Linked DNA regions of Arabidopsis thaliana. The protein of the gene in region 1 interacts with the protein of each later gene in a pairwise test. Each region holds a gene or a part of one and is shown on either strand. Other genes may lie near its edges.

Region 1 (3,882 bases):
GTAGCAACCCAAAGTTTTGAATTGATTTTTCACTAACACAAGCGATATCATGCGGCGGCGCGTGGGGTCTCTTTGGCCAATTTGGTAAATTCAGTTGCACCGCAGAAACACATGCAGAGGTTCGTCGTCATAGCGAACATATGTTTAAATTCAGATTATACAACTGGTTTATTAGGCCTAAAACATAAATTTTTTGTTAGGTTCTAAATATTTCTTAAATTATAAAATTTGTCGCTAAACTCTTTTTGTCTTTCTCTTGCTAAAAGCTACATGAGGTCGATTACAAATCGCTTATGAAATACGATAAAAAGAAGTTGCAACGAAACTGTTAGAATTTGATCTTTTATGAAAGCAATATGCATAATGCATGATCTTTGTTTAGTCAATACATATGTCTAAGTGTCTAACACATGTAACAGTTCTATGACTGTTTTATAGTCTCATAAAACTACACGATTCCGGTTCTACATATAAAACATAAACATAAAATCTTCACAATCTGCATGAAAGTTTTGATTTCGCTACGTGAGATCTCCTTTAGTTAATTAATTTGACTTCTTATGATATTTGATTATATCAAACATGTTTGTTTCATTTACTACTGAAATTTGCGTTATTTTAAGACTTCTGTAGATAAATTTGTTATGTGAATTTGATATTTATCTATATAGGACCGTCAAAAATTTTATTTATTTTATATTTTTAGATGCTTCTATATATATATGTATACACGCATAACATATATAAGATTGGTAAACATGAGCAGAAAAATTATAGGACAATTAAACTTCCTCTAATTTTATCAGAAAACTTTTGTTCGAATTCATATGAAAATTTTCAAAATAAATAAAAAAATACAATTTATTTACAAACTCAAGACTCATAATACACATATCTTGTCCGTAAGTGAATAAGCCAGTCCAAACTCACACGCTTGCTCAGCATTTACGTCTCTCATTAGTCTCTATCTCTTTTGTTTGTTTCCTTCTTTTCTCAGTCCGTCTTTTGTCGTGATTTAAGAGAGAGGCGCGTGAGTCAAACAGGACACTAGCAAAGCAAACAGCTGCACAAGTCAGTCCGTACTTCACGACACGCCATAGAATACGATAAGATTTTTAAAACCCCCTCGAAACCGACATAAGCGACGGTCGTAACACGATCCACAAACATAATTAGATCCACGTTCAGACGTTGTTAAGTTTTTGTGTTGCTAATTAAGAAGTTTCTTGTTTTTTCCGCAACATATGGATCTCACAACAACAATCGATCTCCGACTCTTACATAACGAACAAAAGAAGGATTAAATTATAAAAACAAGTCTACTAACTCTAACAAAAAGATACTATTTGCTAAAAAAAGAAACTAAAGTAGTTCCACCGAAAGTGGTCTCAAACGGCGCCGTATAGAAAAGTAGGCAAAACGGCGCCGCTATATCCATCTTTATCGTTTGTTTTCAAAGCCAAAGCGGCGGAGGCTCGTTGAGGTCAATGGCTAAGCCACGTCTCACCGTAACAGGGGAAGGAGAAGAATTCATCATCGGAAACCCAACCACTTGATAACCAGGCGATGACGTGGCTGTGTTAGGCGAGGAGGTGAAGTAAAGCGGCGCTTCTGTAGAAGAGTAATCTGAAGTTTTGTCGTTTAGCACACCGGTTCGGAGAAAAATGCGGTGGTGTTGGTGATGATGGTCGGAGCTTGGAGGAACAGGAGGAGGCGCAGCGAACCAGAGCTGTTGGTGTTGGTGGGGTTGGTTATTTGCGGCGGCGGTTGCGGCTGAGGGAGCGGAAGGGAGGTGGTTGAGGTCGAGAGAGAGAGGAGAAGGGAAGTTAGTTTTGGCTTTGATACCACGGAGGAAACGAGCAGCGCCGTCGTAAGCAAGAGCAGCTTCTTCGGGAGTGTCGAAAGTGCCTAACCAAACCCTAGTTTTCTTCCAAGGATCTCGTATCTCAGCAGCGTAGCGACCCCAAGGTCTCTTTCTGACTCCTCTGTAATGCACCTCTCTTGCACACGTCGTTGACGCCATTGTTAGACTCTCAAGAGGGGAAATATGAGAGAATCTAGAGAGAAAGTGGAGAAGAGAAGAAAGAGGTTTTGCTTTGTTGGCTCGTTTGACCCAAATGAGAGAGAGAGTGAGTGAGTTTAAAGAGCAAGAGGTGTGTTTGTAGGGCCGCTTGAGAACACCCGTAATCCTCGGCTTCTTTTGACGATTATCTATCTTTATTTGTTGCCTATACGTAATATATATGGCAAGTTAATAGTAAAAACAAAACTGAATAGTGTTTGATTTCTAGGATCGAGGTTTTCTCTGGGGTTTGCAAGAATCAAGCACCGTTCGATCTTTTGCTGTTGGGTGATGTGACGGTGGTATGCTGAGAGATTGTTACACGTGGGTGTTCTACACCAAAATAATGTTGTTTTAATAAGTTGATGTATTTGAAAAAATACAATAGGATTTCTCATAAAGTGAATACTTCTAGTGGTGAGTGGACTTATTCTAGGACATGAAAGAAAACAATGCTAATCATTCCTTTGAGTGCTAATACTGTTTTCTTATCTACCATTTACAACTTCTGTTATATAAAAAAGATTTGTTAGGTAATGGTTAGAAATAAAATATTTTAGTTCTACTCTCCAAACAACCTCATTACCGTTGTAACTTATGGTAAATTAACTCATTACTTGCTAGTGACGATAATGCCATACTATGAAATTTATGCTATTATAAAAAGAAGATAGAAAGATCATTTTTGCATAGGCTCTCCAAACATTTTTTCATAATTCAAGTACTTTGTTTTCGATCGTAACAATCTCGATGCTTTTTCTCACAGCAACCATTGATACAAAATGATCAAAGAAAAAAGAACTAAAAATAAATAATCTTGTACATTTACGAAGAGGAAAGAAAAATGGGCCGCCTCTTTGACTGAACCTGTGGCATAGGGATGCTGACGTAATCCCTAGTACTGATAATAGCCATCTCTCTCTATCTTTTGTATCTTTCACTCTATTATTTGACAAGTATTTAAATGCTCTCTTTTGGGGTTTTATTGGCACCCATATATATTTATGATGCACGAGGACAAGGCTACAAGGAGATCATTAAATAAAGTTACTTGACACAACTACTCTATCTTTAGCTCTGACTGATTTTGTTTTTCTTTTTGTCCAAAATTCATTAGCCCATCTTATGCAAACTTACTATACTCTCTAGTCTATACTAATAGAGTAGATTACATAGGCTCTTTCTTTTCCCTCTAAAAAGTGACGTAGTTTAAGTCTTTATATTGTGTAAAATATATAGTAATCATAGGAGTCAAAAATTTATAGCAATTGAAGTGGCTTATAATTTTCAGTAATAGACAATGAATTAAAACAAATTAGTTAGAGGTTTTTTGTTTTTGTTTTATCAACTGAAGTTTTATTAGATTAATTTGTCTTTTAACTTCTCTATTTCTTGACATTTTGTAAGATGTTTTTGTTTGGTTTTAGGGTTATTTAAAAATAAATAAAAAAATCTGTGTTTCCTTTCACGTGACAAGGCTTAGGGTCTGTCGTTTTGATTGAACAAATGCATTGGTCCATATCTAACAAAATTTATACACGTGCGAACTCTGATGTCTGACTTCTCTCTCTCTGACATATCTAATTATTTAAATTAACCCTACCTATAAGCACAGTAAAAAAAAGAGAGATACCCCAAAGCTATATAAGCTACTACAGTACTAATAATCATTTTCAAGAAATATTTTGGAGAAAAATGTGAATGTGGCTTTCGTGTTCACGTGAGCCTGTGATACATAAGAGCTTTATGACGTGTCTTTGTAGTAGCAGCTAGGACAAAAGGAGCATCGTCATCAAGTGGTACTGACTGGCTGCCTCCTA
Region 2 (4,448 bases), 9.9 Mb from region 1:
TACTTATTAAAGACTACATCACACTCAAGTTCGGTGGATCTCCTACACTCTTGTTTAAAGTAGACAGTTATTTGACACTAGACATCAAATTCTCTTTTGCTCCTTTTTCATAAAATCTTGAAATCTAGTATTGAGGAAGATTCTATGAAAAGAAGTCAAAAACCATTTCTCTGATATTTATATAGGGATCCGTGGATCATGGGCCAAAACTCTTACTAAGTATCAGAGCTTGCATCCACTAAACAAATTTTAAAAGAAACCCATAATTCTAAACTCTAAACTCCAAAAGAAGCAACACATGCAAACCCTGTCTATGGAAAGTGACTCTTCATCTATGGGGCCAAAAGAAGAGACTAAGAAACACAAGAGAAATGATTGTTTCAAATTCCATTTGCTAGTCAAAAGAAAGTTTATAACCACAGAGATTGGGAAGATAATACTTCTAATAAACGCTAAACCAAACAATATGATGATTGATGTAGATGGATAGAGCACTGTTCCTCTTTGGGATTGGCAAACAAAATGAGATATTTCTTGGGGAAAGCATTAAACCCACATGGAATAAAGGGCAAACAAAAGACTTTAGCTTCAAGTGGGGTTAAAGGTTTCCAACACAAGAACATAAATAAAGGACAAGTAATTGTAGAACAAGTTACAACAAACAAGATGTGAGCTCATGTAGCTAGAGCTAAACATTGTAAAACAGAATTGAACTTACAGAACGTTCTCTAATTGATACAAGATGAATTCAAATTAACCAAGGCCTAGGCTTTTAAAGACTTAAGAAGAACCTGAAACTGTTGATCAGATTTATAGGCCATTTGGATATTCGAAACACACAACAACGAAAACCGCCTTCACTATTCCACGCATTCGAAGCGCCCTGAAACGTTAAAAACAATGTAAGTTATCAATTTGATGAATGGTTAAAAGACAAGACTTTCACAAATGGGTGTTGTTTTCGAAAAACTTCAAACCTGGAATATGAAAAGAAACCTGTTGTGTTGCACAATCTTATGTGTTTTTGGAACTTGTTTAATGGCGAGAATCGGATGAAGCAGAGGACGGCTTGTTGTCGCCGCCGTGCTCCTCTTGTTCGCCTTGAAACCGTGCTGGTATACGAAAACCGGAGAATTCACCACTTGAAGCAAATGCAATGCCTGGAATAGCAGATTGGTGAATCCCGGGAGGGATATGGTAGGGATGATGATGGTGGAGATCGTCAGTGGTCATGGACTGCTGATGATGATGATGATGATGGTGAGGATCAAACCAAGCACGAATCATAGGTGTGTTAATGGACTGAAGGGGACCCCTCTGTGATAAAAGCTGACTTTGGCTATAAACTGGATGCAACGACGACGGAGAAGCAAACACAAATCCTCCGGTACTTCCGGCGGATTCAGCTGCTCCGACGTTGTTCCATGACACTAGTCTCTGTATCTTTCCAAATTCCGGTGACTGATGACTCTGTTCCCAGCTTGCCGTCGATGAGTCAAACGCTAACTGATTATTGCTCTGGCCGGAGAACAGAGCAGGTTCTGTTTGATTAGGAAAAGGTGGACCATTTTGGAAAGATTGAAGCGAGAGACGAAGAAGATCTTGGTTCTGTGTATTGCCTCGTGACGGTGGCTGATGATGATAGCTCTGTTGCGTTGAAGCTACCGGAAAAAACGACTTTATAGTGTCAGCTATCGAATCAGAATCCATTGACGCCGGAAGAAAACTCGATTCGTTATCTTCTTCTTCTCCGATTCGATGATGCTCTGTTTCTTCCGGTTGTGGCGGTGGCGGAGAAATTAAAGTTTTGGTTTTTCTGGGTTTAGCGTTAGCAGCAGCGGCGGCGTGTTGACGAAGAGTATCGGCGGGGTTCCAAGGAGGAAGCTGAGCAAGATCATCAATGGCGGATTTAGCTTTAGTAATAAGCCAATCAACAGCTTTACTTGGTCGATCAAAACCAAGTCTATCTTGAACATCGTAGAATTGAATCGCCGTCGGAGCTGAGAGTCTCACGCGCCGGTCACGTGGTCCTTTCGCTGTACATACTTTACTATGTCTGTCTTTTCTTCCTGTTGACCGAACAATGTGACCTCCTTGTACCTCCACAATCTCGCCGCAACCACCACCGTTCTCCGTCGCTGATTGGTGGTGTCTCATCTCTAGAAGAGGCGGCGACGGAGAATCTAAGAAATGGTCGTTATCTGGTGCCATTGATGAAGCATATTGTGGAAATTCAAGGTCGTTGATGGTGGTGGTGGTTGGATTATGACGGCGGCGGCGACGGCGGTCGTTAACCGCCGAGGAATCCAGAGTCGTTCGATTTATTTAATTCAACATTTTGCCTCTCCTCCAAATCCCAAACCCTAAACACGCCAACAAATCAAAGATGAAGAAGAAGAAGAAGAAGAAGACGTAATTGAATTTTGCAGACTAACCCATGACTAAATTTCTCTTCTTTTGTCTAAAGATTGTTTCTTTTTTAGAATTTGTCTCTGTTTCTGAGAATTCAAGAAGCAAAAACAGAGGAAGCAAGAAGAGAGAGAAGAGATAGAGAGATGTGGAATTGACTAAACGAGAATCCAGGAAAGCTCTTTTTAATTTTTTGTTTCTGGCCGGAAAATTTACAGTAACGGTAAAAAAAGGAAGAGATTTTGGGGTTTGGGGAAGAGAGGGAAATGGTAATGGAAGGAGTGTGTTTGGTCATAAAAAGAGCTCTCTGATACTCATCATCATCACTTGTGCTTTTATTTCATTTTTAAAGTGTTTTCTTATTTTATATTATATATTTTATGGTTTTTCTAAATGAAAAACAAAAAGCTTTTGTCCGATTCATCATGTGGAAATATTTTACATGACATTTCGAATTGTATTAGCTATATACATTACAATGGATATATTTTGGTAGAGGTTACTGTAAGAATATCAACACATATACATAGTCCTCTTAGGTTTGGTTCTGACTACCACTATTTTTTTTTGTTAAAGATGATAGAAACTATAAGCACTAATAAACCCAAATTTTACCAAGTCAAAGATTGTTCTGTACTGTGTTAGAAAATATTAATACAGAACTTTTGAGGTAGTAAAGGTTTTGGGTTGTTGGAAAAAAAGACAATACAAGAAGATTTCTTTTATAATAAAAACTAAAAAGTAAAGCTTTTAGATCTGTTGGAGAGTTGGAGACACTAATAATTGGGCGGTATAAACTAATATTGATGGTATTATTTTAAACAAATAAAGTATTATTTTCATCGAATCAAATTGTATTGGTTTTAGAGGTTACACCCTGTAAAATGCATCACCAGTATCCGTAGGATTCGACAGTATCCCTATAATCAACCATTGTCTATGCTCCTTTCCACTATCTGTTCTCGAACTCCACTGTTCGTCAATCCCACTTTTAATTAACCAAACGTAGTAAAGTTTCAGATGGAAAACGAAAATAATAGAGATACATACTTGTACATAGTTTTAGTTTAAAATTAACTTGAATTTCCTTTAAACAAAGATAAAAATGTGTATATATACGTAATTTGGTAACTCAATCAGTTTTTTTTTTCTTTTTTGTTAACAAGGAAATCCCGAGCATTTGACATACTAATACAAGTATGGTATGTGATTAAATATGAACATTTTAGGTGTGATTCATGTAGAGATTTCAAGAGAGATATAAGAAGAAATATGTGATTGTAGATAGGAGATTTATGTTTTTTGTAAGTGCGTTTCCTACTCATCGAGCCAATCTGCATTGAATCCATAATTTTTTCTTTTACCTTCCCAAGAGAAGAAATTATCAAAACATCGTTCTACGACATGCAACATCAAATTTAAAGGCACGAAATATCGCACGGTTCACTGGTTTAGGACACAATCAATTATTGTTTTCCATTTTTTTGTCATTACCACAAATTCTCTTTCTAACTACTTCTCCATTATACACACCGACCATGCATGTACTGTATTTTTAATTAAATACCCGTAGTCATACGAACTTTTCTGATATATAATGTATTTGGTACCATATTCTTGATCATCAAATAATGACAATGCACACATAAAAAGATGACGTATCGATATGTAAGGCAAAGATGGAATCAAATTTCAAATAAATGTTTCCCATTGCACCTACTCAACCAAGTGTAGTCTAAATAAATTTACGAATATACCCTATAGGCTTTTAGTGTTTTTCGATCGCATGTGTGTCAGTAAGTACACTCCCCATCACCCTCATAGTCATTTCCTCTTATCTCTCTCTCTTAAGTTATTTTCCCCAATATTTATTCCTTTCATTTATTTTTGTCAACTTGTTTTTCCGATAAAGAAATAAACACAATTTTTTCTGTCAATTTCCTAGTTTTATTTCGTTTATTTCCATTGTCTTATTTTTTTCCGTAATAAAAGAAATTAAAGCACTGTGAAAAGTTATAAATTCATTCTTCCATTCCCTT
Region 3 (4,105 bases), 1.3 Mb from region 1:
CTACATTGCTGGATGGATCGGGTGGGTTGGAAGAAGCTACTTAATAGCTATTAGTGGTGAGAAGAAACCCGCGATGAAAGAGATCATCATCGATGTTCCTTTGGCTAGTCGGATCATCTTCCGTGGTTTCATTTGGCCCGTTGCTGCCTACAGAGAGTTTCTCAATGGTGATCTCATTGCTAAGGATGTTTAAAAAGGGAACTTGTTTTCTGCTTTTGTGTTACTCTCTCTAATCTCTTTGTTTTCCATTGTACTTATTGAAAAACAATGCATTGTCGAAAACCTTATAAAATTTGGATTGCGCAAGTAGAAAGAATTATGGCTAAAATGGTGATTGACAGATTGTGATTTTGCGGTCTAGTGATTGCTATGTGAAGCTCAATTGCTTGAAGGGAATATCCTGATATAACGCACAGGAGCATAACCAAATTTACTTAGTATAATGCTATTTTACCACTCTTGCATTTGCATGAATGCAGGAGAAGCTCTTGAACTATAATAGACTAAATTACTTGTGTTTCTTCTTAAGCTCACTGTAAATTTCTTACCACAAGCACATGCTCCGGTCCGGTCTTTCTGTTTCCTTCATATGCGAGCGATTCTATCAGCGACTATCAAATGGCAAATGTTTGCAAGGAAACCAAAAAATAAAGACAAATGGGCCATAAGTTTGCATAATAAAAATTCAGGCCCATACAAGTGCTTAGTGCTAATTGCTAAGCTAGACTTAGCTAGTATCAAAGATGACCATTACACGATAATATGCTCACAGAGTCAAGCACACACCATGGGTTACATGATCATAATTGTATATAGATATAGATAAATAATATATCTCACAAATTTACATTAGGTCAATAACAAAGATCCCTCCTCGGTTGGAAATGATCAAAATAACCCTACCGGATCATGATCCAAAGGTCCTACACATACACCAAATCCCAAATACCCCGGAATTACAAAGTTACAAATACTAATAAATATATAGAGAGAGATTTATAATATATAAATATATTTAGTATTTTTATGTATCTATATCATGTTAATAATTTCACTCTGTAGTCAAAACAGAGCATTTTCATATCCTACCCCTAAATTTAATATATAATAATCCCGAAATTTCCCAAAAAAGGAAGAGGAAATTGCAGTAGCAGAAAGAGAGCATTATTGACTAGCAAGACCACATAGACTCTCCCAAACTGGCTTCATCCACAATGTCCATATGGCTAAACATGCCCTTGTTGTCCTGTGGACTCACTTGCTTCGAAGACGGTGACCCGCTGCTACTCGGACTATCCGGGCATAGTCCGTGCCCTGGGAAATTAGTCGACTGGCGTACACGTAGATGCACCACCTCAGCTTGAGCTAGAGCTAGCTGAGCTTGCAACACATCTATCTGTTGCTGGAGGGACGAAATTGCCCCAACGCAACCGTAAACCGGATCCCGCACTCTTGCATTAGCCTCGTAAACCATGCTGCTCACAGCGTCCCCTCGCTGGTGGATTGGTAATTCCTGTTGAGTTTTTAAAACATTTTGTCAGCCACTAGACCAATTAATCTCGCAAGACTATATAAAATTTATATAATCCATCTCAAATGTAGACTCTACATCAGCTAGCTAAGAAATGTAAATCATATCATTAACATTAGCTAACAAAAGTTAATATGGTTAAAATTCAACATCAGCTAATAAATGTAACATATTCCTAAATTCTTAAAATTCAACAATTTTGTTTTTAAATCCCTAAACTTATAATATAAACGGGTCGGCCCATGTGGTAGTTGTCAATAAAAAGTTATGGAAATGATAGTAATGTCTCATCTAAAATAAGAAACAAGAAAATCATCCTAATTAAACCTAACCCAACATATGAGTAAGCACGTTTTAGATATTCTTAAGAAGAACAAGAAGAAAGAAACCTGAAGCATCTTGTTGACGTTGCTAGCACCGAACACTCTATGAACATTAGCAAATTTCTGAGGCTCATCGGCCGGAAAATACGGCGAGAAAACGCAATCTTGAGCGCACCGCCGCCGCAAAAGCTTACACGCAGCACACGGTGACGCAGCTCCTTGCTTCCGGCTACTTTCTTTCATCTCTCGCCGCCACGTGTCCTTTGGATATGTGAATTTATCTAGAAGAACTGAATCTCAACCGTTGGATTGTCAGTTATCGAGAAAGCTGTGGGAGGGTCTCTAGGTGAAGTGTGACGGATCTGTGGGGATTTATAGAGTGAGAAAGAGAGATGAATTAAATTAAATTAAAACTGAAAATTTCCAAAGATTTAAGACAAAAGTAAAAAAAATAAAAGTCAGCACATCTGAGAGTGGGACCCAGAGATTTGGAAAACTTTAGGTTTGTTTTGCTTTGGTCGTAGAGCAAAAATTAACATCACGTGACATGACCATTTTAGTTTTACTTTTGGCGCCAAATGCTATTTGTTTTTTTTATATTCTCTTTTTGTCTTTTACCCCTTATCTATTCTCATTGGTCTTAATTTTTTTTTTTAACTTTTGATTTCTTTTTCCCCTTAATTTGTTTTGCCTTTAATGTTTTCTTCGAATATGGTTGAATTAAATGGTACAAGTTGTAATTAATATTCGGAATCACCACAAAACTAAATAAAGAGAAATTGTAAATGATATACTCCCTCCGTTTCACAATATAAGTTGTTTTACCTAAAAGTACGAAGATTAAGAATATTTACTTTTAAAAAGTTCAACCAATCACAAAAGAGACTGCATAATATAAATAATTATAAAATATTAAAATAAATATATAGTTTGCATAAAAACTTAAAAACAATTTAATTGTAAAACAAAAAAATTGGTCCAAAACAACTTATATTATAAATCGAAGAGAGTATAAAAATATTAATCAATTTACTTTATAGCAATTGGTTTTGAAATAGTCGACCTATAAACTTTAATATTGGAATTCTATACTCTTTTTTTTGTAGAGTGAGCTACAAGAGGGTTTTCTGTTTGGAATGTTACATCTTTATTGAAAATGTGTATAGGATAAGGAAATTTATGGCCTCGTGCTTGTGCATGTAATCATTGTTTCTATATCTTTTGTGTATTGAGATTCTCACAACTTTCTACGTGGTCCCTCAATTTGCATAGAAGGGGATTAATATTAAAATCTGAAACAAATGAAACTTAATTTTCCATTGCTTAAAAATCGTGGAAGGGTAAAGTGGAAATCTAAGAAGCAATTCAAAGGAATTAGAGGTATCAATCTAACAACAGATATTTTAAGTTTGATCATAAACTTTAGTAAACTATAATGGACAAGTCTTTATCACCGGTGGTTGGGTCAAGGGTTGAAAGTTTAAACGATGGTGGATGTCTTCTTTTCGGATTCTGTGTGGTGTGGTTAGATCTTCTGTTTTGATGCAAGTCAGTGGTTCTTATTCTCGACTGCTTTGAGTTGATGTTCCTACGTTTTGCTGGTCGAGGACTCTTACAATTTTCTCTCGGCTCGGTGATTTCTGAGATGTAGTTCTAGTTGCGACATAAGTTGGGTTACATCTCTTAGACAATGTAGGTAATACTAATATTGATGTATAAAAAAAAATGCAAAGATATCTATTTGTTGATATTTTAGAACATAAAACAGTATATTCTTAGAACAGAAATATACTATTTTCACATGTACCCATATCAAGATTTTGTTTTTAGTACATTTACATATTATCAAGGTTTTCATTACATATTTGAAGCAGATTTTGTAAAAACTCATTTTACGGTCATTATAAAAAGAGAAAAAACAACCTTAAAATAAACACAAAAAATATAGGGGCAGGGCAACAAAATGTCTAGTCTTTCACTAGTCAAAAAATAAAGTTGAAAGAAACAATACAGTGCACGCTATTTTATTTTCGTAGAAAAAGACAAAAAAAAAAAAAAATTAAAAAAATTAAAAAAAGAAAACGCCCACAGCTTTCGAAATCAAAGATAGCCTGAAAATGACGAATGTAGAACATTTTACAAGGACGACAAAAAAAAACATTTTAGAAGAAAACTCCCACAGCTTTAATAGAAAAAACTGTAAATTCTTTTCATGAGATGTAATATACTGAGTATTAAAACTAACTTTGCT
Region 4 (4,763 bases), on another chromosome or scaffold:
CAGATACTAGTGTTGCGTTTAGCTTTTTTTCCAACGTTTTTTTAGATTATCAAGAAACCGTTTAGCTTTTTTTCCAAACGTTCAAACTAATTCAATTGAAATCAAACCAGTAAATTGATTTGAAAACCAATGTTTATACCATGTCAAGAATGGCGATAGAGAGGAGACGAAGACCTTTGTACTCCAGTTTCCGGCTGAAAATCTGAACCACAATCATCAACAAGTTGTGGAAGCTCACCATTACATTAGCTATAACAAAGAACCTGTAAAACCAAGAATCAATGTTAATAACTCAAAAACATTTTGCTTTCAATATGTATCGAATCGATTTCGTATAGGGTTTTACTCGCTTACACAAAAGCCGGTGTGTGCTGAAACTTAGCGGTTAAAGTGGCTTTAATAGGAACAGTACCAATGGTGGCCACAACCAAGGTCTTTGTCTCTTTGTTTAGTGACATTACAATGGCTGCAGCTAAAGTAGCCATGAATGCAAATATTCTCAGCCCCAAGAGTAGTTTCCAGCTCTTTGTGGTACCACCAGCCACCACAATCTTCTCTCTGGCCATTGTTGATGCAGTGAGTGATCAAGAGAAAGTGATGAAACTTTGTGTCAGTGTTAAAGAGTATTTATATGGAAAGAGTTTGGTCTTGTTGAGAGGTTTTGTCGGATCATCTAACTTTAATGTTCTTGGAGGGTACTGACTGATTAGGTTATGGTTGTTGTGACAAGATTACTGCAAAATAGATTTCCAGATTTCAAGACTTGCTCTAAGACAAGTCTTATCTACCAAAGCTAAGACCAGTTCTTGTGACATGTAGCATATCTCATCCACGGAAGAGACAGATTTCAAACCCAAATCTTAATGATTGGTTGGTGTATCAGATTATATTCATACATACATTAACAATGCCACAAGGGCCGATGGAGTTTTAGAAGTCAACAAACAGAAGAGAAGGTCAAGTTCCATGGAGCAAAAGAATGCCAAATTATTCGAGCAAAAACCTTGTGTCTTCAACTTTGAATAAACCCCAATAATGCAGTAACAAGAGATTCTGATAAGCTTTTTCTCTTGGGTTAAAAAGGAGTCAAGAGATATATAACATACAGTTTTTCCGCGTATGTAATATGCACAAACCAAACGCAGGAATAGAGGAAGAATTTGGATTTGATCTTTAAGATCTCACTCATTCTTGATTACTTTTTGTCAGTTGTCACTCCAACAACAACATTGCTCACCTGCAATTTGTGTGTTTCAGTCACTTTGTCATATCTTCCTCTAATGTGGTAAATAAGAAGAAGAACACAGGTGATAGAAATACTCACCAACTTTCCGCTTTCATCAACGGACATGGGGTTTTCTACAACAACGGTTTGGGTCTGAGAGGGTGGTGTTGACTGTTGGTAAAATGAAAAATCGATGAACAGAGTAAGTACCAGTTCCATAAGAATATACAGAACTATTACAAATTCATAATTTGATAACTCACAGTTGATGTAGAGGGGGGACAAGCTGTTCCATTTGGCCGGTTAGTTGGGAGAGGTACCCTTCCATTGCTCATCTAAGGATGCAAAATGAATCAGAAATGAAAATTTCCAACAGAAAGATCTCTATACTTAACTCAACCATGCAGAGGTGGCTTAATAGATAGGAATAATCACATTAACGTTAGTTACGAATTGACAAACAGCGCATTTGACGGATGATGCACCGTAAGGATACATGAGGGTCGTCCGACAATGCCCACAATTGATCTGCGCAACCTGACTGGAAGGAGCATGGGCAACCTGATTGGAGTGCGCTGTCGATTTCAAAAAAGACACGCACAGATTCAGAAAACAAGCAATGTTAATGCTAGAAAAATCCAAGAAATACTAATGAACGAAGTAATCAGCAATGTTCTTAAGCAGTCATGGATAAATGATAATCATACAGCTAAATGACAACAGCTTAGACGCTAATTAAAGATAAGAATCTAATGGTAGATCAAACAAAACAATAATAAACCCTACTAGCTCTAACAAGTAGTTACCTAGTCCACCGGGACCATCTAAAAGCTTTGTTTTAAGTACTTTCAGCTGCTTTACAAATCCCAGATATTTTCAGAATTCAGATTCATATACATCTTTGGGAAAAGTGGAAATACGTTACGTAAGCATCATCTCCACAGAACAATGTTATCAAACAAAAGTGTGAAAGAAGATTCTAAAGGACTAAAAGACCTTATAAAGCAATATAATACATGGTCTTTAAAAGGATTGATATGGATGTCACGATATTATTAATATACCTGGCACAAGGTTCGTAGTTTGACAGCAAGAGCATCTTACGCTACTAGCCCCACGCGTATACATAAGCATTGTTCTACAACCACCACATATAATGTGTGCCATGTCTGTATTCAGAATCAGAACCCAAGTTATAATACAATTGCAGAGCATATTAACCTCATCCTCAATTCAAATTCAACAAAGAAATCGATACCGTGAGGTGGAGGAGGAGGAGGAACCATGTTGATAGTGTTACATAACGCACAACGCACATTAGATGCTCCTCTAGGATACATCAATAAATTCCTACAACCATGACACACCAGCTGGTCCTGCATATCTGCTACTTTCATCCAAACACACACAAATTGCTTCAAAACAAGACCCACACAGATGAAACCCTAAACATTTCACAATACTTAGTCATTGCAAGGAAGCAATTGGAGATTCAAATACCTAAAAACTCACCTGATTAACAAAAAGAGCTGATTTTGGAACGAAACCCAAATCCAATTCAAAGCCAAAAACTTCTGCATCCAAATCAAAACAAGAATTGTGTGTTGAATCAAACAAACAAACAAGGACAATGATGAGATTACAGAATTGGCGAAAATTGAAAAAAAGGAACAAACTTTGGAGCTTGTTCTTACCGATTGGAGAAGGGTAAGGAATCGAATCCAAAACCCGCGAAAGCTAGAGCGATGATATGCAGAAAATCCAATCCAAATTGAGGAGATAGACAATAGATTTCGATTTTTCTCTCTCTCTATCTCCAAAATCTCAATGCCCGGATTTATCTCTCTGTTTTTCGTAATTTACGCTTCTTTTTTTTTTACATGACGCGTAAGGGTTTTTTTCTCGGTCATAAACGCGTATATACAAACGCAGCGATTGGCTTCTGCTAATTAAATATGAATTTTTATGCCAAGCATACGTCCATAGATCAATTAATTATGGGTAAAAATATATTTTCTAATTTTCTGCAAATGGTGTAATAATATTAAATTATTTTTTGTCTACCCCTTTGAACCAATGAAAATTCTATAATATTTGTGTGTTAAATGAAAAATCGTACATGCTGCCAAACAAAAAATTCATAATAAATAAATGAAAATCGCATATAAACTTTAATCAAATGTTCTGAACATAACGTCCCACGTATGTTTTCGTTTGCTTATTCATATCGGAAGAAGAGTAATTTGCGCATTTCATATTACAAATTGGGGAAATGGACAATAAATTGGAGAGCAAAAATCATAGCCATCTAACCTCACACACTTTTCTTTTTGTTAGGTACCAGAAATATCAAGAATCACTGAGCTAATTGTATTCTCATGACTTTTTGTGGTCAGCAAATGAAACTGGTCTGCAATAGTTTTTAGAAGTCTTTATCGGTTTATTTCTCATGTGTTTTGTCAGAAATTTCTTAGAAATTTTTGTCTTCCAAACTTGGGGAACTAAATTTGTTTGGAGTGTAAGAATACACGGTTGAGCTTTTAGGTAATACACTTGTTTTTGAAAGGTATAATGAATTTTAAAAAAATTACTTTATCAACATTTAAGATTTGGAGACAATTTTGAAATCACGTTTGAAAACGAATTTTTTGGCCAATTGTTCACTTTTCTGTCGTTATTATACTTCTGTTACCTTGTGTCTATTTGTTAATTTACTTGTTTTATTTGATTTACTCCATTGTTTTAAAAGTTTTACTGGTTTGTTTTGTTAAATTGATATTTTTGATGGTATTAATTAAGTTTAGTACTACATTAAGAAAAGAAAAAAAAGAGTCTAGTACGTATGTACACACCAACCAGATATGTGAACAATTATGGCGTCAATTTATCTGGAGCATATATACTTTTATATGATGGTTTAGGTTGAAGGAGTTATTCTAAAATGCATTAACATCATACATAATCGGTGTAATGTAGTGTCCTTAACTATTTAAATGAGTGACATGTGACGCAAAATGCGTGACGTACGCAAATATGCAGCATATTATATGCTTGTGACATTATTTTAAATAGTTCATGAAGTTACAATGATAAGTCAGAATAAATTACATACTAGTGGCTAGCAAGAAACAAGTGGATGATGTATAATTTGGAATATGATTATTTCTGTTTTATACTGGTGGGTTTTGGAATAAGAATACTATAAATTTAGAAAAAAGGAAAGAAAAAAAAAACATGAATTATAAGTGATATACGTACGTTGAACGAGTTGTAGATTCTCGAAACTATACACGAAAAGACCCTGGTAATGATTTCATTGGAGAGAATAAAGCTAAATAGCTAATTATTGCAATTCCCAAAACGTTATATAAAGAATAGCAAGTAAGGGTTCATAAGGTAAGAAGCAAAACATTTGATTGAGATACTTGAGATCCAAGATAAATATGTCTTTAAGTCGTAGAGATCCTCTTGTGGTCGGCAGTGTTGTTGGAGATGTTCTTGATCCTTTCACGAGGTTGGTCTCTCTTAAGGTCACTTA

The links.
Region 2: the proteins of ERF12 (region 1) and TCP3 interact in binary tests that used the Arabidopsis thaliana proteins (3 or more experiments, as listed by UniProt).
Region 3: the proteins of ERF12 (region 1) and LBD4 interact in binary tests that used the Arabidopsis thaliana proteins (3 or more experiments, as listed by UniProt).
Region 4: the proteins of ERF12 (region 1) and LSD1 interact in binary tests that used the Arabidopsis thaliana proteins (3 or more experiments, as listed by UniProt).

What each region holds. Positions count from the first base shown.
Region 1 is NC_003070.9:9,950,075-9,953,956, reverse strand, and holds ERF12 (ERF domain protein 12), read right to left. Parts: upstream 2,196-3,882; 5' UTR 2,024-2,195; coding exon 1,454-2,023; 3' UTR 852-1,453; downstream 1-851.
Region 2 is NC_003070.9:19,849,225-19,853,672, forward strand, and holds TCP3 (TEOSINTE BRANCHED 1, cycloidea and PCF transcription factor 3), read right to left. Parts: upstream 2,502-4,448; 5' UTR 2,212-2,501; coding exon 1,036-2,211; 3' UTR 978-1,035; exon of another isoform or gene 977-977; intron 884-976; 3' UTR 564-883; downstream 1-563. UniProt on the Arabidopsis thaliana protein: Plays a pivotal role in the control of morphogenesis of shoot organs by negatively regulating the expression of boundary-specific genes such as CUC genes, probably through the induction of miRNA (e.g. miR164). Participates in ovule development.
Region 3 is NC_003070.9:11,211,099-11,215,203, reverse strand, and holds LBD4 (LOB domain-containing protein 4), read right to left. Parts: upstream 2,247-4,105; 5' UTR 2,098-2,246; coding exon 1,921-2,097; intron 1,514-1,920; coding exon 1,172-1,513; 3' UTR 637-1,171; downstream 1-636. Other genes in the region: PSAF (photosystem I subunit F), read left to right, coding at 1-193.
Region 4 is NC_003075.7:11,002,871-11,007,633, reverse strand, and holds LSD1 (LSD1 zinc finger family protein), read right to left. Parts: upstream 3,118-4,763; 5' UTR 2,920-3,117; intron 2,800-2,919; 5' UTR 2,738-2,799; exon of another isoform or gene 2,623-2,737; coding exon of another isoform or gene 2,608-2,622; coding exon 2,484-2,607; intron 2,395-2,483; coding exon 2,290-2,394; intron 2,205-2,289; coding exon 2,173-2,204; intron 2,078-2,172; coding exon 2,032-2,077; intron 1,801-2,031; coding exon 1,661-1,800; coding exon of another isoform or gene 1,640-1,660; exon of another isoform or gene 1,561-1,639; coding exon 1,489-1,560; intron 1,397-1,488; coding exon 1,325-1,396; intron 1,238-1,324; coding exon 1,196-1,237; 3' UTR 846-1,195; downstream 1-845. Other genes in the region: AT4G20390 (Uncharacterized protein family (UPF0497)), read right to left, coding at 1-22, 140-263, 355-566; TSF (PEBP (phosphatidylethanolamine-binding protein) family protein), read left to right, coding at 4,669-4,763.